4 linked regions of the Rhinolophus ferrumequinum genome follow. The protein of the gene in region 2 purifies or fractionates together with the protein of the main gene of each other region. This does not show direct contact. Links are inferred from orthologs where the notes say so. Each region holds a gene or a part of one and is shown on either strand. Other genes may lie near its edges. The genes, in order: MAP3K5, ARRB1, IGF1R and NOLC1.

Region 1 (7,068 bases), on a different chromosome or scaffold from region 2:
ATGTTTGCCTACATTCACTGATCTTATATTTACAGAAATACTTCATGGCCCAGGATGATGTTAGCTTCCTCTGGAGTGAATTTTGATTACCAAATGCCTGGAATTACCCTAATCCAATTTCAGGGTTTGAGCCTTTTTCCTGGGTTACGCAAATGTCTGGAGGCCTGGTTGTTATCCAGGTAAAGGTCATTTCACTTCTAGTTCACCCTGACTTCTAGGTTATCTCATCCTTACTTTTGACTTTCCAGGTGTTGTGAAAAAAACCAAAAACCAAAAAAACAAAACAAAACAAAAAAAACCAATAAACAAAAAAACAACAGTTTAGCCTCTCAGCTGCTTAATTCAGATCCACAAAAATTGCCAGGACAGAAGCAGCCCTGACTGTAGGCACACCCTCTGGATCCCTGCCCTCTCTTCCAGAATCTGGCCATATAGTTTCACATGATCTCATTAGTTTTTTGATGCCTTTATTTTAATTATTATTATTTTAAAAATTTTGTCCATCATTCTTAGTCTTCTTCAGTGAGAGGGTTGATCAGAATTACCTAACCTGTCATAATCAGAAAGCGGAAATCTCTCCTTGATATTCCTCCAGTTTTTTATTAGGAAAATTTTCTGCCCTACCTGCAAGTGTTCTCAAAGTGTCCCAAGGCCCATCTCTAAATGGAAATGGGATGGACCCTGACTGAGAATATAGTTCTGATTGGTAAACTTCAGTTCTGCTGCCATGCCTTTTTCATGTGTAAAGATGTCATAGAATCTTTATGATGTTATAATTCTATCATTTACTGACTGTGATTTAATCTTTGTCAAAAGCTTCGGGAAGCCTGCAATTTGTGGATCTACGCAACATGTTACCTCTCTGTCTCCTTGGGTTCCTTTTTGCCCTGATGCAGAATGTCAATTTGTGAGCTAACGAAGAAATATAATCCCCTTGGTTCCTCCATTTATTAAAGCAATATAACCAGAAAGTATTATATCTGATTTGTCTTATTTTAGATTCTTCTAAAATGCTTTCCTTGAGTTAATAATTAATATTATCTTCTTGGCTTTTAAAAATATTAAACATAAATTTATGTCTAATATATAACTAACATATATAATTTTTTACAAACAAATCCATTTTCAATTGCATTGTATTGCCCACTGTCCTCTATATCAGATTCTATGTAGTAAAGTATAGAATTTAATGTCGGAAAAAGATTTGACTCTTCATATGAATATGTGTACTCTTACATGTTTTCTTTTTATTTTAGCAGCCAAAACACACAGAGCTCAGTTTAGCAATTAACTGAATTATGTATTTATATGTGTGCTTGATATCTCTTTTACTGGCTTCCTGATTGATTTCTGACAATTTAAAATTATATGTACCTTGTTTTGTACGTAACTTTAAATACTTTTTAGAATTACGAGTACAATACAATTACGTATATTGTATTCCCACTTATCTGAGGATACAAAGAAAGAGGCAAACTTGTCACATAAAACAAAAGCTAGCTAGCTAGGAGATCCTTGCCCATTTCAAGCTTGAAATTCACCATTTTGCTTGTTTGAGAACAACCCTGAGATGCCCTTTAGAAAAAAGTGCTCCTTTGATCCAGACAAGTTGCAAACATGCGCATCCTCTGGGTGGTCCAATTAGAAAAATGCTTTCATTTCTCCAGATGTGCACCTTGGGCCAGCCTTGCAAGCTGAGGGCAGGCTGGGTACTGGCACCACATCTATCTCCTCTGCTTACACACAGGCCCCACATTTGCGTTGCAAGTTGAACCATCTGAATTTTTGCATATTTGATTATTAGTTATAAAACTGGAAATTCCATGATTCAACCTGATATATGCCATGTAAGTTTCATTAGCTAAACCATGCCATTTAGGTAGTGAGAGAGCCTTAGGACCAACTATGTACAAGCAGTCTTTCAGCATTGCATTGGGGTTTGGGTGCCAGTAATGAATAAAATCTTTAAAATTATTAAATCAATTCAAAGCAAAATGAAGCGAGCAAAAGTAAAAAGGTGGCTCTGAAAAGATCTAGAAGGGAAGCAAAGCTGAAACGGTCTAAAAAGTTATGGTTTTTAGAAAATACCTTTATATAATCTTAGATCTGTGTGGTAAAATGCTATTGAGAATTTAGGCATTTTAGTTTTCCAGACTTGATCCTAATGAATTTCCAGTGTTTATTGTTTTGGGTCAGGATGGGGTAGAGGATCATCTATTCCCGCAGGAGTTTGGAGGTTTGACAAGTCGTTGGAAATACTAAACGTTATATATCTATTATATTAGTAGCCCATCAACGTTGTCTTTGTTTTTGTTTTCAGTACGGTCACTGATTCACTAAATACTTTTCTAATGACATCAAGTCCAAAAGCACGTGTGGATCACATGGATTCCAATTGATATGAAGAGTGTTAAGTATCCTTACTATAAATTCACTTCTGTCAGTTTACAAACCTTTAGAAAAAGCTAATGTCACTTTGCTTCCTTGGGGATACAGTTGCGTAGCTACTAGGTGTTTTTCTTCTTATTACTGTTTTCTTCCTCATTTGAACTCTTTACTACTCAACTGTTTCATCCTTCCTTTTTCACCCAAGCTTGAACGTAATTTGAATTATTCTTCTACCTTTTTCATAGGACTCATTAATCTCAGTTCCTGGAGATGGGAAACCCAAAACCTGCCTACCTTATTTTCTTGCAATTTTCACTGGTTTTCCTAAAGTCATAGCATTCTGGAGTTCTCTGAGAATTTACACTTCTATTTTTGCTCCCCAAATAAGTAGGTACTTTTTGAATGCTCTTAAGCAATCCACATATTTTTTCTGCCTGTGGTTCAACTTAAAAAAACAGAAGAAGTCATTTAATTTTCCTCTTTCAACTGGCGGCTGATGATTTGCCGAATCTGGTATAGACCTCCTCTTCTATCTCAAGTAAGTATATAGCATATGTGTGTGTTGGGGGAAGGTTAAGATCCTAAATGAGAATGTTAAATCTCTCAGCAGTTGAACCTAATCAATTACTCATTAATGATAGCACAGCTGTTGGAAAACTTTAAATGAAAAGTACAGGCGCACATCTGATAAATTTAGCCTGCCAATTCCGGAGCGCCATTGTCACTAATAAAACACCCTCCCCAATTTAGGCCCCAATTCCCTAGCGCTGGTTGAAATGCCCCCGCTTTGCGCAACGCGGGCCTCCCGGCGCTGCCCCAATCCTTTCAGGGCAGGCGGCGGTTCCAGACTGCGCTGCGGAGGCAGGGACCAGAGGAGGGCGCCGTGGCGGCGGTGAACGCTGTAAATGCCTCGAGGCTAGCTCAGAGGATCCGAGCATTCGCCAGAGAGACTATTTTTTTTTTTCGTCATACTGTTGTCTCGTGCGCTCCGGGCTTCTGCCTACTCCAGATGTTCTTAGGTGGGGGCCTGGTTGGAGACGGCAGAGACCCTTGGTCCGGACAGCACTCGTGCTGGGCGCGATCAGTTTTGTCCTGGCTCGAGATTCCCAGCAACGCCCTCCCCTGGGGCGGGCTCTGACTCTCGGTGCTGCGACGAGTGGGCGGCAAGAAGCCGGTGGCCCACAGCGTGAGCGGCTGCAAGGAGCGCTGAGACTCCAGCTGCAAGGCTGGCGCCGGGACCTAGCGGCCGCGGCGATCGGAAGAAAAAGGAGATCAGGGGAGGAAGAGGAAATAGAGCAGATGAAGGAGAACTGCCGTGGAACAGCGAGGCGGATCCTTTCGACTGCAGCTGCCGCTGTTCCGGCACGCAGCCCGGGGAGCGTGCCAGCCCGTAAGGTGCTGGCCAGGTAGCTCCCCACCCAGAGAACGCTCTTCCTGGCCCTTCCCAGAGCGCCTGGCACGGAAGGAGCCGGTGCCGTGCTCCTGGTGGCCAAGGCGCACCGCACCCCAAGAGCGGCGCCCTTGAGCTGCACCGCGGCGCAGGTTTGTGAGCGACTTGTTCGCCCGCCGAGAAAAGGAAGCACTGTCCCTTCCAGCTCAACCCGACTTCCCCACCCCTTGTACTCTACACCCTGCAGCGGGCGAGCGGAGCGGCGCGGCCACGGAGGCGCCGAGGAGGGGCGAGCCGCCGCCCGGCGGCTGCGTCCCTTCGGGGGAGAGGGCAGCTGAGAAGAGGCGGCGGCGCGGCGCGGAAGGCGCGACGCGCGATGGCAGCTGCTTAGCCCGGCGCGCGCGGAGCAGCCCCGAGCTGTGGCTGGCCAGACGGTGCGACTGGTCTGGGGACGCCGCCGCCACTGCAGCCGGGCGGGGAGAGATGAGCACGGAGGCGGGCGAGGGCATCACTTTCTCCGTGCCACCTTTTGCCCCCTTGGGCCCCTGTGCCTTCGCTGAGGGCGGCAGCTGCCGGAGGGGAGGAGTGGTAGCCGAGGGCGAGGACAGCCAGCTACCACCGCCGCCACCGGGCAGCTTCTGGAACGTGGAGAATGCCGCCGCCCCTGGCACTGGGTGTCCCGCTGCCACCTCCGGGAGCAGCGCCACCCGGTGCCGGGGCAACTCTGGTGGCGGAGGCAGCCGACGGACCACAGTGGCATATGTGATCAACGAAGCGAGCCAGGGGCAGCTGGTGGTGGCTGAGAGCGAGGCCCTGCAGAGCCTGCGGGAGGCGTGCGAAACGGTGGGCGCCACCCTGGAGACCCTGCATTTTGGTAAACTGGACTTTGGGGAGACTACGGTGCTGGACCGTTTTTACAATGCAGGTGCGTGTGTAACCCTTTCCCATGCTCCACGATCCCTGGCCGTTGCAGGGTTTAAAAATATGTTTTTCTGGGCAGGAGAAAAATAATTTTCTGGGCAGCAGGAGTGCTTCCTACTTATTTACTTCTTGCCGCACCTTAGAGACAGCAGCGCTGCGCGACTGCTGCTGGCGCTCGCTGCTCTTGGGAGAGAGTGGGTGCTGGTGCAAGAGCCTGTGTGTATTTGTGCGAGAGACCGGCTGACTCACCCACCCACCCACCCACCGGCGCTGGAGCCCTGGGGTCTGTGTGGTCCTCATACAGAACTTTTGTTCCTCAGCAATGCGAGATACTGGCCCCAATCAGCCCTTCATTCAGTGTCTTGGTTTCTCTTGTGTTAGATTTGGCCCATATTTTCCTTCTGTATCTACCTGTGACTGAGGTGAGGGTTCTCTTTTTTTTTCTTTTTTGGTCTTTTCTTCTGTATAGTTTTGTGAGTACAGAAACCATAACTTATGCCACACAGCCAGCTGCATGCACGTAGTGTGTCTGTATGAATTTGCATGTCATGTCCTGATCTTCCCACCTCATGTTACCTTAAGTTTGGTGGCTTGAATTTCTCATTTCTTATCAACTTTTAAGTAATTACTTCCAAAAGTAATAACCTTGTAACTTACACTAAACTTGTGTGGTATCTTTGTTAGGATTTCAGTGAAAGGACCAGGGTCTGTTTTTCATTACCCCATATGCCATGATGGACTGGAAAGTGTATAATTTAGCATTGTTTAAAATGCTGATAGGCTTTCTTGACAGCCAACACTAAATTGGCCATTAAAGTGACTGCTAGCATGATCCATGAAAAAAATGTATTTTAACCTATCACAGATTTCAGAAAGTATTGTAGTTCCAGTGACTGAAGCGATTAGCTATCTGTTAGCAAATGTTAAGAATAATAATGTTATTTAAACTAACCATTAGCACCCTGTATAACCAATATTGAACATATATACATACTTATTTTTATAAGTGTGGGCAGAAAATTTGATTTAATGGTGGTTTCAAACAATAAGGCTCTTGCATTTGTGATCACATAAAAGGTTTTATATTCTAATCTTGTTTTCAGTTCTCATTCTCTTCAGCCTCTTCAGAACACCTAAAGTAGGCTTATGTCAGTTTTGGAATTCAGTCAAAGCTGAATATTTTAAGCACAAGAACTTCATGTTAAGGAAGCCAGACTAAATAAACTAGGACTTTCTGGTTCTGGTATTTTTTACAGCCTTCTTGGTCTTCATAACTGAACATGAGTATAATATATTGTAGCTTGGTTCTTTGGGTGGCTTGCTAAAAAATGGCATAAACATAACTTTTCTAAAAATGAGAGCACTCTTACTTTTGGATTATAATTAGGAGGAAGCTTCAAAGAACTGAAAGATGTGTGAGGGAAACACCCAGCCAAATAGTGTATTTTTACTCCACTGATAGGGCGCTTTGAAAATATCTTAAACTCTAAGCCGATTTGAAAGTCTTCTGTCAAGGCTCACTTACTGTTTATTCTCCAAGTAGTGTCCCTAAGAAAGGGAGAAAGATTAGAAGGGACTGGACATCTGAACTGTATATCTCATTTAATGCTCCAAACTGGTGAAGGAAGTCCCTGCTTACTGTCTTTCTTAGGTGAGAAGACCAAGGGATCCAGAACTGGTCCCAGGACTCAGGTAGTAACTGGTCGGTGCTGGGAATCCGCTTCTGACTCTAAAAGCTCAAGCTTGCTGCCTCCATTTAGTTGAGCTGATTTTCTCTCAGAGTCAAGAGAAGCTCTCTATCTTGGAATTATGTGACAGAGGATGGACAGAGACTTTGTGAGCCGTTTAGGGGCAGTGTGCAACGCAATAGTGGGGAGAACTTGTTCTAGGAAGACCAGTGTTTGTAGGCCAGCTCTGTCCCATTCCACCGCTTCCATCATCCTGTACCCGTCCTAGTTTAACCTCTGCCTATGTGAGTCACGTGAACTCTGAGCCTTCTCATTCAGCTTCAAAATGTGCCACAATGAAGATGGGTATCGGTTTTGTCCAAACCCTTTATTTTCCTAAACTGAGCGTTTAATGGTAGTAGAGGCTGCTGAGTTTAATGGTAGTAGAACTTTTCTTCTGATTTCTAAGACAGCACTTGCTCCTCCTCCATCAGGATTCTGCAAATTTTTTTGTCAAGGGCCAGATGGTAAATATTTTAGACTCTGCAGGAGGTCTTTCTTACAACTACTCAACTCTGTGGTTGTTACAGGAGAGCAGCCATAAACAGTACCTAAACAAAAGATCTTGGCTGTAGTCCAATAAAACTTTGTTAGTGGACACTGAAATTAGAATTTCATATAATTCACAAAATATTTTTTAAA
Region 2 (6,900 bases):
GGATGAGTAAACAGACCGTTATAAAGTGTGGGAAATGCTGTGAAGGGGGACACATTGGGCGTGGGTGTTGGGGAGCATCTAACCCAGACATAGGGGGAGTCAAGGAAGGCTTCCTGGAGAAGGAGATAGCTGAGCAGAAGACATAGCACAGGCGTTCTAACAGCTGACACAGCAGGCCTGGGGAGGGATCTAAGGAATCATAGGGATGTGGACTCTGGATTGTAAATTGCAGAAGCAGAGACTCTGACATCAAAGGATTCCGTCTAGGATCCATATTTCTCTACTTTACTTACAATGTTTTTTCCAGACTCTCCTTTCACCAAGACTTGAGACATATCTTGCTAGGGAAGCCCTCACATTTTTATAAAGTAATTTATGCTTATGGAAAATAAGGGACATAAAGAAGTGGGTGGGTAGGTGGAGGGAGTCTCATTCAACCCCTATTACTTTCCTTTCATTCATTTTTTGGGGTTTGTTTTTAGTATTCTTTAAAATTGAGGTATAATTTACATACCATAATATTCACAGTTTTAATGTAAAATTTCGTGGTTTTTAGTACATTCACAAGGTCTTATAGCTATCATCACTATCTAATTTCAGAACATTTTTGTCACCCCAAACACAAACTCCTGCCATCAGTAAACATTTATTATTTCCCACTTCCACAGCCCCGGGCAACCACTAATCTGCTTTCTGTTTCTATAGATTTGCCTATTCTGGACATTTCCTACAAATGGAATCAAACAATATATGGTCTTTTTGTCTGGCTTCTTTAACTTAGCGAAATGTTATCAAGTGTCATCCATGTTGTAGCATGCATCCATATTTTACCTCTTTTTGGAGCTGAATAATATTCCATTGTAGGTGTGTACCACATTTAGAAAAATACATTCATCAATTGATGAACATTTGGGGTTTTTTGTTTATTTGTTTGTTTTTTACCCTTCATTACTATTATGAATAATGCTGCTCTGAACATTTATGTACACATTTTTATGCAGACATCTGTTTTCAGTTCTCTTGGGTATATTCCTAGGAATGGAATTGCTAGGTCATTGTTAACTCCATGTTTAACTTTTTTCCAAAGTGAGTGCGTCGCCTTATATTACTACCAGCAGTATATGAGGGTTCTAGTTTCTCCACAGCCTTGACAATACTTGCTTTTGTCTTTTTTGGGTTATAGCTATCCTAGTGGGTATGAAGTCTCACACTGTGGCTTTGATTTGCATTTTCCCAATGACTAATGATGTTGAACATCATTTCATGTGCTTATTGGCCACTTGTATATCTTCTTTGGAGAAATGTCTATTCAAATCCATTGTCCATTTCTTACTGGGTTATTTCCCAGTTTCTAACTGGGGTTTCTAACTGGGTTATTTGTTTATTAATGAATTATAATAGGGTCTTTATATATCCTGGATACTAGAACCTTATCAGATAACATGATTTGAAAACATTTTCTCCATTCTGTGGATTGTCTTTTCACTTTCTTGACAGTGACCTTTGGAGCTCAAAAGTTTTTAATTTTGATGAAATTAATTTTATCTATTTTTTCACTTTAGTTGCCTGTGCTTTTGGTGTCATATCTAAGAAACCATTGCTTAATCCAAGGTCATGTTTCCTTCTAAGAGTTTTATAGTTGTACCTCTTATATTTAGGTCTTTGATCCATTTTGAATTAATTTTTGTATACAGTGTAAAGTAGGGGGTTTAACTTCCAATTTTTTTTTTTTTTTTTGCCTCTGGGTATCCAGTTGTCCCAGCATCATTTGTTGAAAAGACTTTTTTTCCCCATTGACTTGTCTTGGCTCCTTTGTCAAAAATCAATTGACCATAAATGTATGGGTTTATTTCTGGACTCTCAAATTTGTTCCATTGATCTATATGTCTATCTTTATGTCAGTATTACACAGTTACTATTATGATAGCTTTGTATTAAGTTGTGAATTCAGGAGTGTAAGTCCTCCAACTTTGTTGTATTTTTATTTTTTCAAGATTGTTTTGGCTATTCTGGGTCCTTTGCATTTCCATGTGAACTGTAGGATCAGCCCGTCAATTTCTGCAGAAACGTCAGCAGGAATTTTGGTAGAAATTTCATTGACTCTATAGGTCAATTTGAGGAGTATTGCCATCTTAACAACATTATGTCTTATTATTTTTTCTTTTGGTATGTATTGAGTATAAATTGAGCTCATGCCAATGTACTGCTTTGAATGCTGATTTATTTTGCTCAGTATTCCATCATAGGCATTTCCTTGTGTTACGAAAGATGCAAGCGTACTTTCACTACATAATATTCCACTGTTTGGCTGTATTACATGGGATTATAAACTCTTGGTTGTTGGGTAATCTGTCACAGAAGGTGCTTTGTTCTGAGTCCCTCCTGGTGCAGGCTTCTTCCTACAAGCACAAATAGACTCTGGGAGGACTTGTGGCTCACAGAATAGCAGCAAAATATTAGTGTCAATGTTGATCAACAGGTACCCCAAACTGCAGGTGGGGAGTGGGGATCACTAGAGAAGACAACATTCTCGATCACGGAGAACTGACCTGCCAGCCTTTCTGGCAACACCACCCTGATGGAATGGAATCAGGAAACAGGATCCAACAGACGGTAGACACTGATAAAGCATGTTTGTTTTAGACGTGTTAAAACATTTGCAGCATGAAATTCATTTCACATTGGAACTCAGTACACCTAACGTGAAAGTTTCACTAAATAATACTTTGTATATCAGCTGAGAGAAGCTGGTCTGCTGTAGTAACAAACAACCCTCAGGTCTTAGTAGTGCAAGAGCTTTCTTTCTCTCTCATGCTATAATACTTGTCTGTCGTGTAGCAGGAGTGCCCTGGAATTTAGGTTGCTGGAGTCTTCCCCATCCAGATCATTGTTGGTTTCAGTGGCAGAGGAAAGAGGTTGTGTAGGCAGACGAATGGTTCCCCAAAGATGTCTAGATCTTAATCCTTGGAACCTTTGAAGACGTTTTATTACATGGCAAAGGGGGATTACAGTTGCAGATGGAATTAAGGTTGCTAATCAGTTCACTTTAAAATAGGGAAATGGGAGGACGAATGTATTTATAAGGGTCTTTAAAAGTAGAAGAGGGAGGCAGAAGAGGTCAGAGTGATGCAGTGTAATAAGAACTTAACCTGCTGGCTCTGAAGAGGGAGGACGAGGCCATGAAACAAGGAATGCAGGCAGCCTCTGAGAAGCTGGAAAAGTCAAGGAAACAGATTTGCCCCTAGAGCTTCTGGAAAGGAATGTAGCCCTGCTGACATCTTGATTTTTAACCCAGGTACAATTTGAATTTCTGAACTACAGAACTGTAAGATAAGCTTATATTGTTTTAAGCCACTAAGTTCATGGTTATTTGTTATAGACTCTATGGAAAACTAACACAAAGGGTATGGGGAACCATGCACCAGCTGGTAAATGTTTCTGCCTAGAAGTGACATATGGCACTTCTACTCATATTTCATTGGCCAGAGCAAGCCACATTGGCATGCGTAACTTCACAGCACTGGAGAAATTTGCCCAGCCTAAAGGGGAATGGACAGTAATATCTATTATACCTTTGCTATCTGCATCTCATGCTTACATCTTCTATTCCATTCCATTAAAACAACAAAGGCAAAGGGCTGGTGGCAATTCTTTAAGTTGATTTCATTATCAATTTAAGGATTGACCCCTGGTTTGAAAAATACTGCTTTATAGACTCCTCTGCCCATGCCTCATGGACCACATGACACACCCTAGGCAGAGCTGATTGGCCCAGGTGTGGGACACCTGATCAAAGGTGACCAATGAAATTCCTCTCCTGGGAATTTGGATTTGGGCCATTTAGCAGTTAACAGTGGGAAGCTGAGTGAGGCAGAGTAGAAACAGGGTCAGAGTGAGAGCCAGATGCAAGCCAAAATGATGGAAGAACAGAAAAGCCCTGAGTAAGCACAGAGAGTTGGTCCACAGAGACAATGGATCAACCGCACAGAGAGCAGTGCAGCCGGGAGAATATGCAGCCCCAGAGGGAGAGGTGGAGAGAGAGAGCAACCGTCTGAGAGGCTGATGGCTTCCCCGTTTCTGACTCCAGCCCCAGTGCATCCTGCCTGCGCGTTCTTCCCGTGAGATTTCTTTTCTCCTTATACCCTCTTCTCCTTTTCTTGAGCTGCCCTCGGTGGGTTTCTGTTCCTAGTCTCCAGGGAGCCTCAATCAGCTAGAACACCAGCAGAATTTCTCTTATGGGAACAGGTCTTGACTCTGAGAATCAGGCTTGGGGGGCATAGATGGAACTTGGGGGTGAAACAGACCCAGCCGTCCCACAATCTGGAAGATTAGCTTTGATCACAGTCTCGCGTGTTTATCCTAGCTCTTCAGAGTGGGCAGGCAGAAGCCATCTGTGTGGTGCTGCGCACGTGGGCGTCCCAGTGATCTGGAAACACCCCCAGAGGGGCCTTTTTTTCTGACAGCGTTGGGGTCAGGAAGCTGGTGAAGTTGCTTCAGGGGGGGCTTGGCTGTGCGCTAGAGTGGAAAGGACAGCGTGGAGACGGGCAGCCACCGTTCGCTTGTCTGAGCCTCAATTTCCTCATCTCTCAAGTGGGATTGTTGAAAGATCAACAGTGTTCTGGGAAAAATACTTAGAGACAGGACTAGGGCATAACACACTCTCAGGTCATGGCAGCTGCTGTTGTTGCTGAGGAAGCCGTCCGTGTGTCAGTTTCCTGAGGAGGTGGCCCCCCAGGGGGCTGATTGAGTTAGCCACAGGACATTCCCCCCACGGGTCATGCTTCCTGCCTCTGGTCACCCTTAATCTCCTTCTCACCCCTTAATGAATAATGGCTCTTTCATTTCTTCCTCTCCCCTCCCCTGCCCTCGTTTTCCCGATTTTCTGCTCCTGATGTTGGAAACACCTGCTTTAGGAAAGCAGCAGGGTTGGATATAAAGTAGCCATCCTCTGGAGGAAGCCGGGCAGAATTAGCTCGGAATCCTGACTTAGCCCCTTGCTTGCTGTGTGTTCCTGGGCAAACTACTGCATTTCTCTGAACCACTAGTTCATGATCTATAAAATGGGCGTTATAATGCCTACGTCGCAGTGCTGTTAGGAGAAATAATGAGGCACTCAACAAACGCTAGCTCTTTCTTACCGCCCTTCCTCCCTTCCTGATTTTCAGTCCTCCCAGCCTGGCTCCCACCCTCTGCCTGTGGCCCAGAGGTGGATCTCTGGTCTCCTTTGCAGGTCCAGCCCAACTTGGGAGCTGCTGGTCGAACCGTGTGATCTGTATTTTTTCTCACTTTAGCAATTATTATACCCCAGCTGACTATGGCATCTTCACATTCCACATCTGATAAATATTTATGAGGAGGAGAAAAGCTCAGAACTCCTAGGGGAGGTGGGGGAGGGACGTACCAGGCTCTTCTTTGCAAGCCAAGCTCAGACGCATCCACGGTTCCTTGGGCCTCAGAAGTAAGGGGTGTGTGTGGGGGGATATGCTATTGGAGGCAGTACAGAGCCACCACCAGCTCCTTAGAGGAGCGACTGTCACAGTGACAATGTAAACTCACCCCGCCTTGCTGGACCTCTCGCTCCTGGGGAAGGATTTGGGCTGTGTGATCCTGCTTGGCCACATGTGGGCTGGCTCCATCTCTCTGTCTGCTCTAGCTCTCTCTGCTTGGGACTGTTTCTCCCTATCGTTTTTTGTTCATTTGTTTTTTTCATCTCTCATTCCATCTTTTATTTTCACACCTCCCGGAGCATGTCCCTCTCCTGCCCTCTCCCTCCTCCCTTCCCTCCTCTAATACTTTCCCCTGGGTCTCTGTCTCTATCTTTCACTTTTCTTCTCTCCCTCCAAACATTATTCTGAGCATTTCTGGGGCTTGATGATGGGCGATAGGTGAGGGGGTCTCAGGCTCCCAGACCCAACTGGAGGGAGAGGGCAGGGGGAGCTGCTGGAGCTAGCAGCGTGCTGTGGAAGGGTGAGCGCTTGGCGGGAGCTGGAGACCTCACCTCCGCCTAAATCTGCATCCAGTGCTCTGTCTGCTGTGTGGCCACGGGCACAGCCCCTCTGTTTCCTGGGCCTCCGTTCCTCAGTTAATTCCAATATTCAATCATTCATTCATACATCCACTCAACTAATATTTATGGAGTGCTTGCTGCCTGCCATTCATTAACACGTTTATTGAACACCTACTAGGTGCACCCATCTAGGCACTTGGCATATATATCAGTGGACAAAAGAGACAAAGATGCCAGCCCTCATGGAGCTGGTACGTCAGCAGAGTAGACAGGCATAGATGTAAGCAGCCATGACGTAGTAGGTTAGGAAATGGTGAGTGCTGTGGAAAAAGGAGAAATAGAGTGAGAAGGAGTGGGAGTGGGGGTGGGTACAGGCTGAAGCCCCATCCTATCAAGCTGGGCAAGCCGATCTGTGAGGGGAGAGAGTCCCAGGGGAGGGCACTGCTAGAGCAACGGCCCTGAGGCAGGAGCCACCCTGGTGTGGTGGGGGCACAGCAAGGAGGTTCCGTGGCTGGAAGAGTGAGGGAGGAACGTGGGAGGGGAGGCCAGGAGCTGAAGGATGGCAGACACGCAGACAAGGCTTGTCCTGTGTGAGCTGGGAGGACCCGGAGCAAGTGCGCAGGACGGTCTGACTTACATCTTGAAAGACTCTCCACATGCCCGTTGAAGAACAGACTGAAGGGGCCCAAGCCCAGGAGACCTGTCATGGCAGTGATGCTGGCTTGGGTGAGGGTAGCGGAGGAGATGGGGAGATCTGATCATGCTCTCGAGGCTCGGATGGTGCCTGAGAATCGCTCCAGGCCTCTTGTCCTCCGTCCTGCTGAGGGACGGCCTGCAGCAGCCTTCACCTGCGTGGGATATGCTAACTCTGGCCTTTCCTCTCTTTTTCTCTC
Region 3 (6,864 bases), on a different chromosome or scaffold from region 2:
TTGCTGCTTAGGTTGTTTCCAAACTTCTTATTCTGGGTTCTTTTTTCGGGGAATAAAAAACATCAACTCCTTTCAAGACCGATCTTCCACACATCCATTTTTCTGACAATAAGGACAAACACGTGCCTGGGGCAGAAAGATGACTGGATCCTTTTAATGAGATGGCCACAACATGTGTGAAGTGCCCATTGATTAAAAAAAAGCCAACAGATTATTTGGCTATAACTTCCAAACTCCCTTATTTAGACGCTCTGTTCATGTTGTACTGATACGAAACAGCCATGTCTGTATGACTTCATCTGCTTCGAAACTTCTAACTTTTCTAAGTTAAAGAGTTTTAAAAATCACCCTACTGCGGTCACACTCGGAGAGGAAACACGAATCCCTAAATATGGGGAACAACCACCACCCCAATCCTGGTTACTGGACTAGCCAGCCAAAAGAATGTCAGGCTCTGATAAGATGTGGCCGTTACTTCTCTCAGAGGTAAGTGTTTAGCACCTTTGGGATAAAAACTCAACGCAGGTTCACGCTAAGCCTATCGTTTCATCCTCAAAACTTCAGAGCTGTAGGGAGGGGCAGGTCCTGAGTGAGAACTCCAACAGACCATAATCAGGATTGGGGGTGCCTTCTGGCCTCCCATCAGGTTTCTGGGAACCAACAATTTCCAAGGCATCTTTGAGTAAAGCGTGGGCTACATGGGATTAGAAACGTACGTTAAAATACCCCTAACCCTCCTGTTTTCTCAAGAATGAAACGCCTTTCACAAAGGATATTTTTCAAGAAGAACGCTCCAAACAAGACATCCTATTTTAAAATGCCGGCCTCCTCTATCGGAGGCCATCACTGTTGCTGAGAATTTCATAACATACTAACATTAAAGAATAAAACGAGAGACAGTACAGTTCAATAGCAACGCCACTCTAAAAATGGATTAACACCGCTGCGTCTTCCAAACTATATTTAGCTTTCAAAGGCTACAAACCCTCTTCTGTCCCCCCAAACTCTGTCTGTGAGGCTTAGAAGGGAGCCCGAAAGCCTTTCGCCCAATCCGTGGAGCTGAAAGTTTAGAAAACAAAGAGCAGAAGAGCTCAGATTTGGGGACGGTCCGGCCTCAGTCTGCGTCTGACTCCACGCAGTAAACACGCTAATCCTATAAAAAATCTGCTCGGACTCCATCGTGGACTCAGCTCTTACCAAGCGGTTAAGAAGGGTTTGTTCACACGGCCTTTCCGAACGGCCCCCGCTGCCTCCGGATTCTCCCCCTCATTCTTCACGGCTCAGTCGTGATTTTCCCAATTGGCACTACCTGCATAGCCTCGCAACCATTACTCACCAGCACGCCCTCACCGGCCCCAGCCCGCAGTCCAGGGACTGCATTTAAACTTTAATCGTGATCAAGTTACCCTGCCGTCGCGCATGCACCAGTAAGCCACACTTTAATTTTTTGAGAAGCAGAGAACCCCCTCCTGCCCTCCCCCCACACCCCAGGGGGCCCCCACTTCTCCCTCCCTCCTCCCTCGCGGTGCTTCCCTACCCCTACCCGACACGACCAAAACAAAAGCTATCAGATTGCCAGCGATAGCGAGTGTGCAGCGACACTGCTTATTAACTATGTACAAAGGAAGTGCGGGGCCGGGGGAGGGGGCAGCGCGAGACAACTGCGGCCACGAAGCCCAGGCCAGCGCTGCGCGCTCGCAAAACAACACGCGCCCCTCCCCACGCGCCGCCGCCATCCGTCCACCGCGGCGCAGGGCACCTCTGGCCAGGGCGCGGCGTCTAGGTGTCCCCACGCGGCCGTGTGGCGGCGGCGACACCCCCGCGTGGCAAGCACGTGTGTGTACATGCACGTCGGCTGCGACCACAAACCCACTCCCGCACACTCGGATGCTGCCCGACCACCCCCTCCCCAGTCCCGCCAGGGGGAGGAGAGCGTCCACGGGCCGGGCAGACCCTGGGAGGAGGTCCCGGAACCCTCGGAACTGGGGTCCAGACGCGCTCCCCCAGAAGAGTGGCCGGTGTCGGGCCCCCGACTTCGCACTTTTCCAGGAGCTGCATGGAGGAATGGGGGTGCAGGCGGGCTCGCTCCCGCACCCCAGAGCCGCACTGGGCAGCCCCGGGAAGCGTGGGACAAGGAACCTGCGGCGGATCGGGTGAAAATGACGCGAACGGCCAGGAACCCAACGAGCCGGAGGGGCAAAGCGCGTTGGGTGACAGGAGGCCGCACCGGGATGTTTGGAAACGTGTCCTGGGGCTGCGGGGCCGCTCCGCCCGGCACCTCCTCATCGAGGGCAACTTGTACCCCACAGGCGGCTGGGCTCCCCGCCAACAGACGCAGCGTCTGCCCCACAGCGAGGGCTCCGCGCGGCCGCACGAGCTGTCCCCGCGGTCTGCGCGCGGTGCGGGCGCCAGCGCGGGGTGCGGACCAGCCCCGCGCGCCCCGACAGGGACGAGGTGCGGGCGGCGTGGCCCCACGGGGCGCGAACTTCCCGGAAAGAGTCCCAGCGCCTGGCTAGGAAGGGAGCGCCACGGAGACACGCGGCCCGCGCGCGGGGCACGGCTCTCGGGACAGCGAGCACGCCAGCCCGCGAGGCCCTTCCCTCGGGGGCACCGCGCGGAGCCGGGGCCCGCGGGCCTGCCACCCCCGAGCCCGCGGCCGAGCCCCTGCGCGGCCCGCCCCGCCCCGCCGCTCCTGCGCCCGCGGGCCCGACAGCTGCGACGGGGGCCACTCGGGTTTCGCAAACAGGGCGCAGCCCCTCGGAGGAAAAGTTCCCGCAGTGGCCGCGGGCGGCGGGCACATACTCACTCTCTCCACTCGTCGGCCAGAGCGAGAGCGCGGCGGAGACACACAGGAGCCCCCACAGCGAGGTCAGGGACCCTCCTCCGGAGCCAGACTTCATTCCTTTGATTTGGGACGAAATTCCCCTTTCTCAAAAATAAAAGGGGCGGGCGGGCGGGCGGCGTGGGGGGGGGAGGAAAAGCCAAAGTCTCCAAGTCAGTCTTCGCTCCCCCTCCGAACACAAGGGCGAAGCAAACAGTCCTCCCGAGGCGGCGCGGACGGGGCGGGCGGCGCGGGCGGCCCCTCAGCGTCGGCAGCCGCGGCCCAGGGCTCGGCCGAGTCGGGAACCCGGGGCGCGCCGGGGCGGGCTGTCGGCGTCGTCGGCCTCCATTTTCAAACCCAGCGAAGCAGGCGGGGGGGGGTGGGGGGGGGCTGCAACGGGAGGGGGGCAAAGCCCAAATCCGTCCGGGCCGCGCGGCGCACACCCGATCGCGGCCCCCGGGGGAGGCGGTGCGGGCCCCGAGCCGCGGCGGCGGGAGGGCGCGACGCAGTTCGCAAGCCGGCCGCGAAGTCCCGGGTGCGGGCGAGGCCGGCCGGGCCGAGATGCGGAGTCAAAATGAATGAGAGGCTCCCCCTCCTGCAGGTCCTCCGAGCTCCTGGCGCCGCCGCCGCGAGCTCCTGCCCAAATCCAGGACGCACACAAAGCGGCGGGCCGGCCGCGCCGCGCTCTGCACTCCCGCCGCCCGCCCCGCGCCGGCCCCCGCCCGCCGCGCCGCCGGCTCCGCGCGCGGGGGCTCCGGCTCGCTGAAGGTCAAAGCCGAGGCGCGCGGCGCGCCGTGGAGCTGCCCCCCGCGCGGGCGGGAGGGGCGCGAAGGGCCCGGGGAGCGGGGCCGAGGGTCTGCACGCGCCGGGCACCGCGCGCCGCAGGCAGGCTCGCTGGCGGCGTCCCTCTCGCTCGCCCGCCTCTGTCGAGTTCGCCCGGTGCGCTCGCTCCTCCTCGGGTTTTTTTTCCCCTTTTTTTTTTTTTTTTTTTTCCGCTCAGCGGAGTTAATGCTGGTAAACAAGAGCCTCAGCCTCGCCGCGCCGCTGCCGCCGCCGCCGCCGCCGCCGCCACACACTGGGGGCTAGCGCGCGCGCGCTCGGGCCCGCGCACACGGACGCGCGCGCGCGCACCTCCCGGAGCCGCCGCCGCCGCCGCCGCCGCCGCAGCCGCGGCGCGCCCAGGGCCCGGCCCAGGCCGGCGCGCGCCAAGAGCTGGAGCCCGGGATCCCAGGGACGTGCGGAGCGGAGCCGGGGCGTGGGGTACGAGGCGGCAAGGCACCGCCCCGCCGCCCCCGTCCCCCCGCCCGCGCGCGCCCGGAGACGCGCGCGCGCGCCCACACGCTCTCGCCCCCACCCGCACTGCGCCGGCCACCCTGCACGCGCCCTCCCCTCCCGCAGGACTCCAAAAACAATGCCCCCGGCGCCGGTCCGGGCGGGTGGTGGGGCCAGCCGAGGAGGGGTGGAGAGGCGGGGAGGGAGCGGGATGGGCGGGGAGTGCGGGGCCCGAGAGGTTCATTGAAAACAACAACAGCGCGGCTGGAAAGCGCGTTTCCCCGGTTCTTGAAAAGCTTCATTGTTTCTTGCAGCTGTTGCAAAATAAATAAATAAGTGCGTGCATGCGGCATTTTTTCGCAGCGCTCTGGAAAGCCCGAACGTGGCGGGAGGGGCACACCTGAGAGAAAGGCGATCCCTCCCAGGCTCCCAAGGTGGGCACTTTCACGCATGGCTAGGGCGGCCGCGGTGTCGCGACTGGGGAGCCCGGAGTTGCGAGGCTCACGGGGAGCTGAGGGGGAAGGGCGCGGCCCGCGGGGCTCGGCTAGGGGGTGCAAGGGGAGACGGCCAGCCGCCCGCCGCGAGCCCGGAGCCGGGAAAGGGGGGCCCAGACAGGCTGCCCCGCGTGCCCAGGGCGCGTCCCCGCGGCGGCCGCCAGGGGGCGTAGCAGGCGCGGGGGAGGGCTGGCCCGCGGAGTGTCGCCTCCCTCCGAACCGGAGAGGAAATGTGGGGGCCCGGACTGGGGGCCCGCTAGACTGGGTCGCACTGGCCGGGCCTCGAAGACCCGCGGCCCGCCCCAAAAGCTCCTCGCGCTGCTCCGGGCTCCACCACGTGGGCGGCTGCTGGGAGCGGCCAAAGCGCGTGCACCGTGCGGGCCGCGGGGGCCCCCGAGGCTAGGGGGCGTGTCCGAGGGGCCCCTGAAGGAAGGGGTCCGCGGCCGTGGCGGGCACAGTCTCCTGGCTGGGGTCGAGACCCTGGAACACGCCGCACATACGCGCGATCAGTGTGGTCACTGCGGAAACCCACCCGCACCTGCCTCGGGTCCTCCCGGGCCCCTCCCTCTTGCTTCCTTCGCTATGTAAGTGACTAGAAATCAGCACCAGCCCCAAGTCTCCTCTGTGGTTTTCTTGAATGTGCCCAAGGAGAGGTTTCCCCAAAACAAGACTGCCCGAGAACTGCCATCTAACGAATAAACGCTGCGGAGACCAGGTCCTTAAAGGGGGAAACAGCCCAGCAATGGCTGGAGAAAGGAGTTTGAAATACGTGGACTTTAAAAAATAGTGAGTGGGCCACGTGTTGCCCTTAATGTGGTCGGGTTTCAAGACTCAGGCTAATTGATGTTAACAACAAATAAAAAGAAGATGGCTAATAAAAGAGTCGTGAATGTCTAGATCGAGTAGAAGTGTTTGTCTCATGAACAACCAGGCTGTCTGGTAGGAAGGGATCTGTTCTAAAGAAAAGGTAGGTTTCTTTTCTTTTCTTTTTTTGTTTTTTACTCTTTACGTGTAAAAGATTTCCGAGTTACATTGTTTGTATCCCATCGTTTGTAAATCATTTTTAAAATTAAGACCTGAAAACAAGTCAAAAGCTATCATAATGGAAACCTAGCCTTCCCAGACCCCCATACTTAGTCCCTAGATCATTGATCTCCTTGGAAATTTTTAGCTCAATTCAGTATGTCAGTTGTATAGAAGGGAAATAAATCTTTTTTTACTTACAAGAGTTTTTCATATGGGATTGTTTTGCTTAACTGAATGAAATTCAGCTTAACTTTTAAATAAAAGATTCCAGTTTTAGATGTTATGGACATTAACAGAGGAAGAAATGTATTAGAATCTTTACAAAGAAACAAGTTTAGCACGTATCATTTAAAAATCAGGCACTACATGTGAATAATTAAAATTCAGTCTACTAATTTTTAAATATTCCTTCAGAGAGTTCCCTGCATGAGGTTGGTCTTGATGCCTACAGATTCATTCTGCAGTTAAATGTAAAGGAAAATCAATTTTATATTTTCATTGTATTTGGTGTTTAGAATTCTGAAATACATGCTTGTAAATTTAGACAAGTTGAGAGCTGACTTTTAAAAGACTAATGCTAATAAAAACTCTTTAAATACTATACAATATATTTTTAGTATTAGTAATAATTCCCATTCATTTGTCCCTAAAGACATAAGGTACACAGAATAAAGGACAAATGCTCAGTTGTTTAAATTGTAGTGATTTGGGTATTTTTTTTTACCAAAATGATTTTTCATTTGTCAATTTTTAAAATGTGTGTGTTTTCCTAAAGTAGTGGGAAATAAATAAGATTAAGCTATTTTAGATGGAAAAGTTAGATGATTATTATTATATACCTTCATTTTTAGAAAAAAGAGAATCAAAATATAAGTTGCCTTTCAGCTTTAACTTGATCACATAGACACAAAAGGCAATTTTTATCTTCTTCAATGATTACATTCTACATACTGAAGTCAAACTTATTTTTTCCACCTTGGAAATAAAATCACGTGGTAAAACATTCACTGGAGTCTTAGCTTCATAATCACACTGACAGTGCATCCCACTTGTTTGTTGTTATGCCATTTTCCCCAGGTGGCATAAATTTCCCTTCTTTTGGAGCAGAAACTGGTGGCTTATTTTCGTTTTCTTAAAAACTGTGCACTTGAAAACAGCTATATCTCAAATGATGCTGCTAAATGTTTCAGACAGCCCCAAATGTAATATATACCAAGTGAAAATATGAGAAACAGCCCAACTGACAATTGA
Region 4 (7,689 bases), on a different chromosome or scaffold from region 2:
TTACAGAGGCCAAACATCCAGCTGCAGCCCGCCTCCAAGAAGGGGTCCATGGCCCTAGTCCAATCCATGTGGGCTCTGGGGACCATGACTATTGTGTCCGGAGCAGGACACCCCCAAAAAAGATGCCTGCTTTAGTCTTTCCAGAGGCAGGTTCCCGATGGAATGTCAAACGCCATCAGGATATCACCATCAAACCTGTCTTGTCCCTGGGCCCAGCTGCCCCCCTGCCCTCACGCACAGCTGCCTCCCAGGAGCCACTTGATCACAGGACTAGCAGTGAGCAGGCAGATTCCCCGGTCTCTTGCCTTGCCCCATCTGCCTTGCTGTCCCCTGAGGCCTCACCCTGCCGGAATGACACGAACACTAGGACTCCCCCCAAGGCCTCAGCCAAGCAGCGGTCAATGCGCTGTTATCGAAAAGCCTGCAGGTCAGCCAGCCCCCCAAGCAGGGGCTGGCAGGGCCACCGTGGCCGCAGCAGTTCTGTCAGCTCTGGGTCCAACCGGACCAGTGAAGCATCTTCCTCCTCATCCTCATCGTCGTCTTCATCCCGATCCCGGTCCAGGTCCCTCTCCCCTCCACACAAGAGGTGGCGAAGGTGAGCTCTGATAGCCTGTTAGGTCCTTTCCATTTAGGAAGTTCTGTACTCTCTGGTTCACTTTGAACGCTTTTGCACATTGAGTTTGATACTTTTAGGCATTAAGGCTTTTACTTCTGTCTTTGGCTTTTGTCTTTTCCCCCTTTCATGGATTGTTTAAGGAGGCAAGCTGTGAGAAGATAGCTTCTGTCCCCTGTTGGCGTTTGGGGTATCCCTGAGGTCTCCTGCTTCCTTGAGACCTGCCTTGGGGAGGCCCATTAGGGTTTCATCTTGACCATGTTGATTCCTTCGCATACTGTATCAGTCCTCATTTCTGGTATTTCCCTGGTGGTATGTGGGAAGGTGGGATCGTGGGTTGTTAATGGTAGATAGTCTTCCCTTTCATGTTCTGTTGGGGAAAGTGTCTGGGCAGTTCCTTTGGGTGTCATTGTGGCCTCATCTGTTTCCTGGCAGTATCTTTTTCTCAGTAAAGGTCCAGATTTTCCCACTTAGATAAAGAGGCCTTTATTTCTCTGTGTCTCTGTTTATTTTTCTTCTTTCTGATTTGTGAAATATTTTTCAATTTTTAATTGTGTAATTGAAAAGAAATAGGATCTGTGCCAAAACATTGTAAAACATTCCAGATACGTCTAAAATTCATAAGGACCTGTTTGGTCATCTGTGAAGTTTTTCTCGACTTCTTCTGCTCTCCTTTGCCCCTGAGCTTCCTTATAGGGAGGCAGGGTTAGGGCCAAGGTGAGGTAAGTGGAATACACCTGCACCTCTCCCAGCATTTCTTTGTGCCCTTTTATTCTCCAGGTCCAGTTGCAGTTCCTCTGGACGTTCCGGAAGATGTTCTTCCTCTTCTTCATCTTCCTCATCTTCCTCATCCTCATCTAGTTCCCGAAGCCGGTCCCGTTCCCCATCCCCCCGCCGGAGAAGTGACAGGAGGCGGCGGTGAGCATGTAGCATGTGTTCAGGGAGTCACTACAAGTTACTGAGAGTTCTGAAACTTGAGCTGTCTAATGTCAGTGAGACTGATGGCACCTTCTTCTCGTTAGGTACAGCTCTTATCGTTCACACGACCATTACCAAAGGCAAAGAGTGCTGCAGAAGGAGCGTGCAATAGTGAGTAGAGGAATAGGTTGTGGGAGGAAGGGGCTTGCCTCTGAGCCATGAGCTCAGAGAGCCATTTGTAGCTCTGGCCCTGGCTCATGGTGTGTCAATTTTCCTTGACCCAACATAGGAGGAGAGAAGAGTGGTCTTCATTGGGAAGATACCTGGCCGCATGACTCGGTCAGAGCTGAAACAGAGGTTCTCTGTTTTTGGAGAGATTGAGGAGTGCACCATCCACTTCCGTGTCCAAGGGTAAGCTTGGGCCCGAAGGTCAGGATGTCCTTTTGTCCCATTCATGTACCTTGATGCTTCTTTGTCGTTTCCTCTTGCTCTGGTATACAGTCAATGTCGGACAACTTCATTCCTATGTTTGGGGTTGGCCATTTGGGAACTTAGAAGAACCACTCCAGTCCCTCTCTGTACCCCGGGGGGCTGTTTCTCCTCCATGGCATGTGCCCACATAGCCAGCCTCTGCCTCACCCTCCCCACCAGTGACAACTATGGCTTCGTCACTTACCGCTATGCTGAGGAGGCATTTGCAGCCATCGAGAGTGGCCACAAGCTGAGGCAGGCAGATGAGCAGCCCTTTGATCTTTGCTTTGGGGGCCGCAGGCAGTTCTGCAAGAGAAGCTATTCTGATCTTGGTGAGTGGAGGGAGGCCCTGAGGCTTTGGTGTACTTGATATCCCCGGAAGGGTTCCCTGCCCTTTTGAGAGTGGGCTAGGCAGACTTGTCACCTGACATGCGAAGAACCTAAGGGATGGGAAAAGGAGAAATGGGGGCTCTCATATTTTTTACTTAAAATCAGGGTGAGTTTAGCTCCATCCATTATTGGGATGGGAGGTGGAGGGCCCGCTGAGGACCCTGTAGCTGGGAAGTGCCGTCAGAGACCTTGATGTTTGTCTATCTCTACCTTTATAGACTCCAACTGGGAAGACTTTGACCCTGCTCCTGTAAAGAGCAAATTTGATTCTCTTGACTTTGACACATTGTTGAAACAGGCCCAGAAGAACCTCAGGAGGTAACCCTGGGCCCTTCTCCCCTTTTCCCCTTTTCTTTGGAGGTGTCCAACCATCTCCATCCCCCTCTCCCACTCTAGGGGAGAGAGCTGCTAGTGAGGAGATGACTTTTATAAAGAAATGGAAAAAACGTGAAATAAAAAATGTGTTAAATCAGATTTTTTAAAGGGTATGGTTTGTTTTTTTATAACAGGAATTGAAACACGTTAACTTGCATTTCTATGTAAGATGGGTGAGGTTGAGGGGTTCCCCCCCCCCGTGTTTGGAAGATCTACATCACTACGCAAACTAATAAACATAAACTAGAGAGAACTCCCATGTGCTCTTTGTGCTTCTTTTCTTTCTGTGGTGTTAGTGCCAGACATACTCACTTTTGCTCTCTGAACAGTGTCGTGCTTACCTCCATTGAGTTACTGGGACCCCTCTGCTCAGGTGCAAAATCCTATTGGACTTGAAACTTGGCTCCTCAGTGAAATCAGTCATTTAGGGCAGTGCTTCTCAAACTTTAAAAAGGCACTTTAATCATCTGGAGATCTTTTTAGAATTCAGATTTTGACTTCTGGGATGGGGGCCTTATATTCTGCATTTCAAACAAGGGGATGCTGATGCTACTGGTCTAGTAAAGGGTTTTAATACCACGGACCTAGAGGAAACTTACACTTGCTCTGTATAAAGATTTTCTAAATAGACTTGTACATTTTAGCTTGAGCACAATGCTTGGCACACAACCGGTGCTCAGATGTTTAAAGAAAGCATGCATGTGGGTAGACCTCTGGGGAAGAGGGAAATGTAGGAGTTATATCTATGAGAGGGAATGCCTATTTTGAGAAAGGCAAAGGAGGAGGTGTGTCCCCTGAGAAAGTGCATCCTTTCCCTTCCTGAGGGGCATTAAATGGGAAGTAGTCAAGGGGTAGTGGGTAGGATTGAAGGAATTGATGTCTGCTGATGTGAACTGAAATATGATAGAATTTGGAATTGGCAGGCCTGGGCATTGACATTTGAGTATTCAGGACAAAGGGATAGGCAGTTGGGGGGTTTTCTAGATCTATGTGAACTGTGACCCAGGAGGTAGAAGGGTTATTATCAGGACTATAGTTTGAACAGATTGCTGCTGTGTCACCCAGGTTTGCTGCACAACCCCTTTTACCTTCATGGAACTAACAGACTGAGTAAGGAGGGGAAAGGGTTGTCTTATGGGCAAGACATGAGTGAGGGAGGGACAGTTTTGGGGATCAACACTCCACCTCTACCACGGATAATCTGAAGGATCCTTTTTCATAGAGGTGGGAATCCAGAGGCTGGGGTGGTATCTGAGAAAGGGTCTCCCTAGGTGTTGGAGGCGGTGAAGATAAAAGGGTGGGAATCCTTTGGTAGCGAGGAGAATGGGGGCGGTTGGGAGATCTTATGCCGGGCTAGAGCAGGGGTGTCAAAACTGCAGCCTGCAGGCCAACTGCGGTCCGCAATCCATTGTTAATTGGCCCACAGCAAATTCCAAAAATATATTTAGTTTACTTAAATAAACCAGGTGAGGCAGTATGTACTGCACCTGGAGTGAATGGCCCAGCTGTTTGTGTATTTTTCCACATATGGCCCTTGGTGAAAAACGTTGAAAAAAGGTTGGACACCCCTGATCTAGAGAGTCCCAGGATAGCTCGAGCCCACGGGTCCACATTACTCTAGAATCCGAATCCCAGCTAGGGCGCTGGAAAACTGCTGCTGGGAGAAAAGGTTCCTCCTGGAGAAAGACGGCGCGGGAAGTCCAGAGTTTTCCCGCCATGGCCGTGGGCGTGACCCCTTACGTCAGGGCTCCGCCTTCACAAAGTGGCGGCGGCAGACTCCGCCCTTACCAAGATGGCGACACTCCTGGGACCGGAAAGAGTTTACAGATTTCGCCTTGACCCTGCCTCCAGGTGGAGGAGGGACTGCCCTGTGGGGTGTGCCCGCCCCTTCCGCTGTGCGCTCGCGCGGCGCGATGGCGTCACAGGGTTTGTCCTCGCGTCTCCGGGTTCTTGAGTTCCTCTGTCGTGCGTGTCGGGAACGGTAGTGACGCGTATTGCCCGGAGGATGGCGGACGCCGGCTTGCGTCGCGTGGTTCCCAGCGACCTGTATCCTCTCGTGCTCGGCTTTCTGCGCGATAACCAGCTCTCGGAGGTGGCCAATAAGTTCGCCAAGGCAACAGGCGCTGTGAGTCCCGGGCTTGGGGCACGGGCCGGGTGGGATGACCACGGGGCTCCCGGCCCTGACATGCTTAGGTTGCCAGGTAGGTCGGTGGGGTCTGCCAGCACAGTGTCTGTGGCGCCTGTGCGGAAGTCTCCGCGGTGACTGGAGAAAGCCTGGAGCCCACGAGGTCTGATTAAATAGCGCTGAGTCTTGCTGCTTTTTTTCTGGTGAGCAGTGCTCTGGCGGCAGCGTGGGACCCTCGTGGCCCAGATCACGTGGCTGGCGAGTGCGGCGTGGAGGGAGTGCCCTGTACCACCGGAGGGAGGCATTGGAGACTCCTGGTTCATTCTTTGGGCCTTACGTTGGCTGATGCCAAGCGTGACTAGATTTTAATTCTTAATCGAATTTATCCTGGATTCAAATATAAATAAAATTGCTTTAGAAGCCTGGGGTTTTCGTTAGTAAAGAAAATGAACGAGAGTAGAGGCAGGGTTCTGTTTTCAGTTATACTGAAGTGGGATTGAGCCTCATATCCCTACCAAGCAGGCACAGCAGTGGGCTTGGATCTTTGACTTGTGGAATCAAACACATACAGGTTTGGGACCAGGCTCTGCCGCTTAAAGATGTATGACTCCAGCTTGCTTAAACTGGATCAGTTTCTATTTCTATGGGGATATCGTCATTCACTTTATAGGATTTTTGTAAGTTTCAGTAACCTGTATTCAAAATGGCAATCGCAGTGCCTGGTGCTCAGGAAGCATCAGTGAGCGAAAGCTGTTATAGTTTTGGTAACTGAAGATGTTCCAAACAGTAAAAGGAAGATGACCAGGGATGTAAAAGGTTTGGAAGCTACGTCTCAAGAAAAACAGACATGACTGTATGGGAAAAAACCTTAAGAGAGGGTAGAGTGTCTCGCAGTGCTAGTCATTGACGAAGAAGATAAACTTGTTATTTGATGCAGAATCAGGCTGCACAAGTTGAGAATCCGATCAGCCTCAGAAAGGACTTCCTTAAGCTGGGGCATGCCTTCCTTAAGCTGCCATGTGATCCGATATAACTGCTTTCATATTGGAACTGGAATTGACTGTTAGGGAGGCTGCAAAGAATGTTTCCACAATGGACTGGATGGAATTGGCCCTTTCAGAATTGGGATTCTTTTTTATGTGTCAAAAGCTAATCTTTGTGGAGGGCTTACTAAGGGCCAGATGTTTTCCAGATGCTAAACCCTTTATGTGCCTTATCTCATATCCTCTCAACAACTTAAAATGTGTAGTGTTAGTCATCTCCATTTTATAGAGAAGAAAACAAGCTTAGATTAAGTAGTTTGCTCATTTAACTCGGAGCCTGTACTCATGTGTACTGTAATGCCTTGCCATTTTTTGCATCAGTAATACAGAGGGTGCCAAAAAAATGTATACACATTTTAAGAAAGGAAAACTATTAAAATTGTAATAATCAATATATACCAATAACAAAAGATGAATTCAAGTCTTGTTTGACTTCTGCAATTACAAGAGGTGCTCAAAGTGGTTACCATCAGCACGTCCAGACACTTCCTTTTTTTTTTTTTAATGTAAGAGAATAAATCCACTTTATTCAGTTTTCAGTAAGTTTAAATCCTTGAGGGGTACAGCATTACATGGATTCTGTGTCCTATGGCCTTAGCAGGAAGGTTGCTTTGGCATTTGGCATGAACCATGCCACTGTTTCCATGGAGTTACCTTTCCCCAGATTACTCTGGTTTTGTTCGGTTTGCCACCAGGAGTCACTGTTGTTCTTTGCCTTGTACACATAAGCACATTTCTTGCCTGGGTAGAATTCAGTTTCATCCCGAGCATAAACACCTTCAGTTTTAAGAAGAGTTGTGTGCATTCTCTGGTTCTGTAGACCCGCTTATAGCTAGCAAAAATGGCTTTGTACCAGCCTTCCAGACATATTTGTTGTTTTAGAAGTCCTGTTCCCAGCAGGCCTCCACAGGCTCCAAGATCCAGACACTTCTGATTACAGGCGAACTATTGCTTGAGCAACATTGACCAAAGTATCCACTTGTATACATTTTTTTGGCACCCCCTGTATATACTAGTGTAATTAGTAGCTGGATGCAATTCTGTACTGAATACATGACATACATAGCTTTTTACCAATCTTTTCTTGGAGGCTGTTTTCCAGTGATTTGGTTTTATAAATCATATTGCAGCAAACATCCTTTTTATAAATGTTTGTGCCCTTGTTTCATGGGTAAGATAAATTCCTAGATAATACGTTGTTAGAGTAAGGGAAATGCACATTTTAAAAATCTTTGATAAATAGGATGGACAGGTGAGGGATACATGGTGCCAGAAACTATAAGACTAGCCCAAGCTTTTGGTACCAAAAATTGGGAAATACATGAAGAGAATATTTTTTTCCTAATTTGTGAAAGTAGGAGAAGTCACACAAAGTTGTAACATTTATGTGAACTATAGCAGGTATAAAGCAGGTCATTTAATGAGAGAATAACAAAATCTGATCTCCCCTAGAATAACCAGGATAAAGGATAAATTATTTTTACCCAGTCTCTTTTCTTTTCTCCTACAGACCCAACAGGATGCCAACGCCTCTTCCCTCTTGGAAATCTATAGCTTCTGGCTCAAGTAAGTGTTCTGTGTACCACTGTGGCTATTTTCTACCCCCAAGTGGGCTGGAATGTGTTCCTTGGTTTGGGAAGGAACTTCTGATCATCCAGAAGTTAGCCTGATCTACCTCAGCAGGTCCACCAAGGCTCCAAAGCGGAAGTTACAGGCAAATGGACCAGTGACTAAGAAGGCTAAGAAGAAGACTT

The links.
Region 1: the proteins of ARRB1 (region 2) and MAP3K5 purify together in Homo sapiens (affinity purification with western blotting; 3 studies listed by BioGRID and IntAct, with this or other methods). This does not show direct contact. The link is inferred for Rhinolophus ferrumequinum from reciprocal best matches to the Homo sapiens genes ARRB1 and MAP3K5.
Region 3: the proteins of ARRB1 (region 2) and IGF1R purify together in Homo sapiens (affinity purification with western blotting; 3 studies listed by BioGRID and IntAct, with this or other methods). This does not show direct contact. The link is inferred for Rhinolophus ferrumequinum from reciprocal best matches to the Homo sapiens genes ARRB1 and IGF1R.
Region 4: the proteins of ARRB1 (region 2) and NOLC1 purify together in Homo sapiens (affinity purification with mass spectrometry; 4 studies listed by BioGRID and IntAct, counting the BioPlex papers as one, with this or other methods). This does not show direct contact. The link is inferred for Rhinolophus ferrumequinum from reciprocal best matches to the Homo sapiens genes ARRB1 and NOLC1.

Annotation. Positions count from the first base shown.
Region 1 is NC_046286.1:82,961,622-82,968,689, reverse strand, and holds the start of MAP3K5 (mitogen-activated protein kinase kinase kinase 5), read left to right. Parts: upstream 1-4,049; 5' UTR 4,050-4,261; coding exon 4,262-4,703; intron 4,704-7,068. UniProt on the Homo sapiens protein: Serine/threonine kinase which acts as an essential component of the MAP kinase signal transduction pathway. Plays an important role in the cascades of cellular responses evoked by changes in the environment.
Region 2 is NC_046294.1:50,017,898-50,024,797, reverse strand, and holds the start of ARRB1 (beta-arrestin-1), read left to right. Parts: upstream 1-3,878; 5' UTR 3,879-4,062; coding exon 4,063-4,118; intron 4,119-6,900. UniProt on the Homo sapiens protein: Functions in regulating agonist-mediated G-protein coupled receptor (GPCR) signaling by mediating both receptor desensitization and resensitization processes.
Region 3 is NC_046311.1:11,461,789-11,468,652, forward strand, and holds the start of IGF1R (insulin-like growth factor 1 receptor), read right to left. Parts: upstream 3,003-6,864; 5' UTR 2,901-3,002; coding exon 2,807-2,900; intron 1-2,806. UniProt on the Homo sapiens protein: Receptor tyrosine kinase which mediates actions of insulin-like growth factor 1 (IGF1). Binds IGF1 with high affinity and IGF2 and insulin (INS) with a lower affinity. The activated IGF1R is involved in cell growth and survival control.
Region 4 is NC_046299.1:22,809,360-22,817,048, reverse strand, and holds the start of NOLC1 (nucleolar and coiled-body phosphoprotein 1), read left to right. Parts: upstream 1-4,685; 5' UTR 4,686-4,772; coding exon 4,773-4,892; intron 4,893-7,445; coding exon 7,446-7,501; intron 7,502-7,615; coding exon 7,616-7,689. Other genes in the region: PPRC1 (peroxisome proliferator-activated receptor gamma coactivator-related protein 1), read left to right, coding at 1-595, 1,394-1,531, 1,636-1,702, 1,821-1,942, 2,183-2,334, 2,611-2,714. UniProt on the Homo sapiens protein: Nucleolar protein that acts as a regulator of RNA polymerase I by connecting RNA polymerase I with enzymes responsible for ribosomal processing and modification.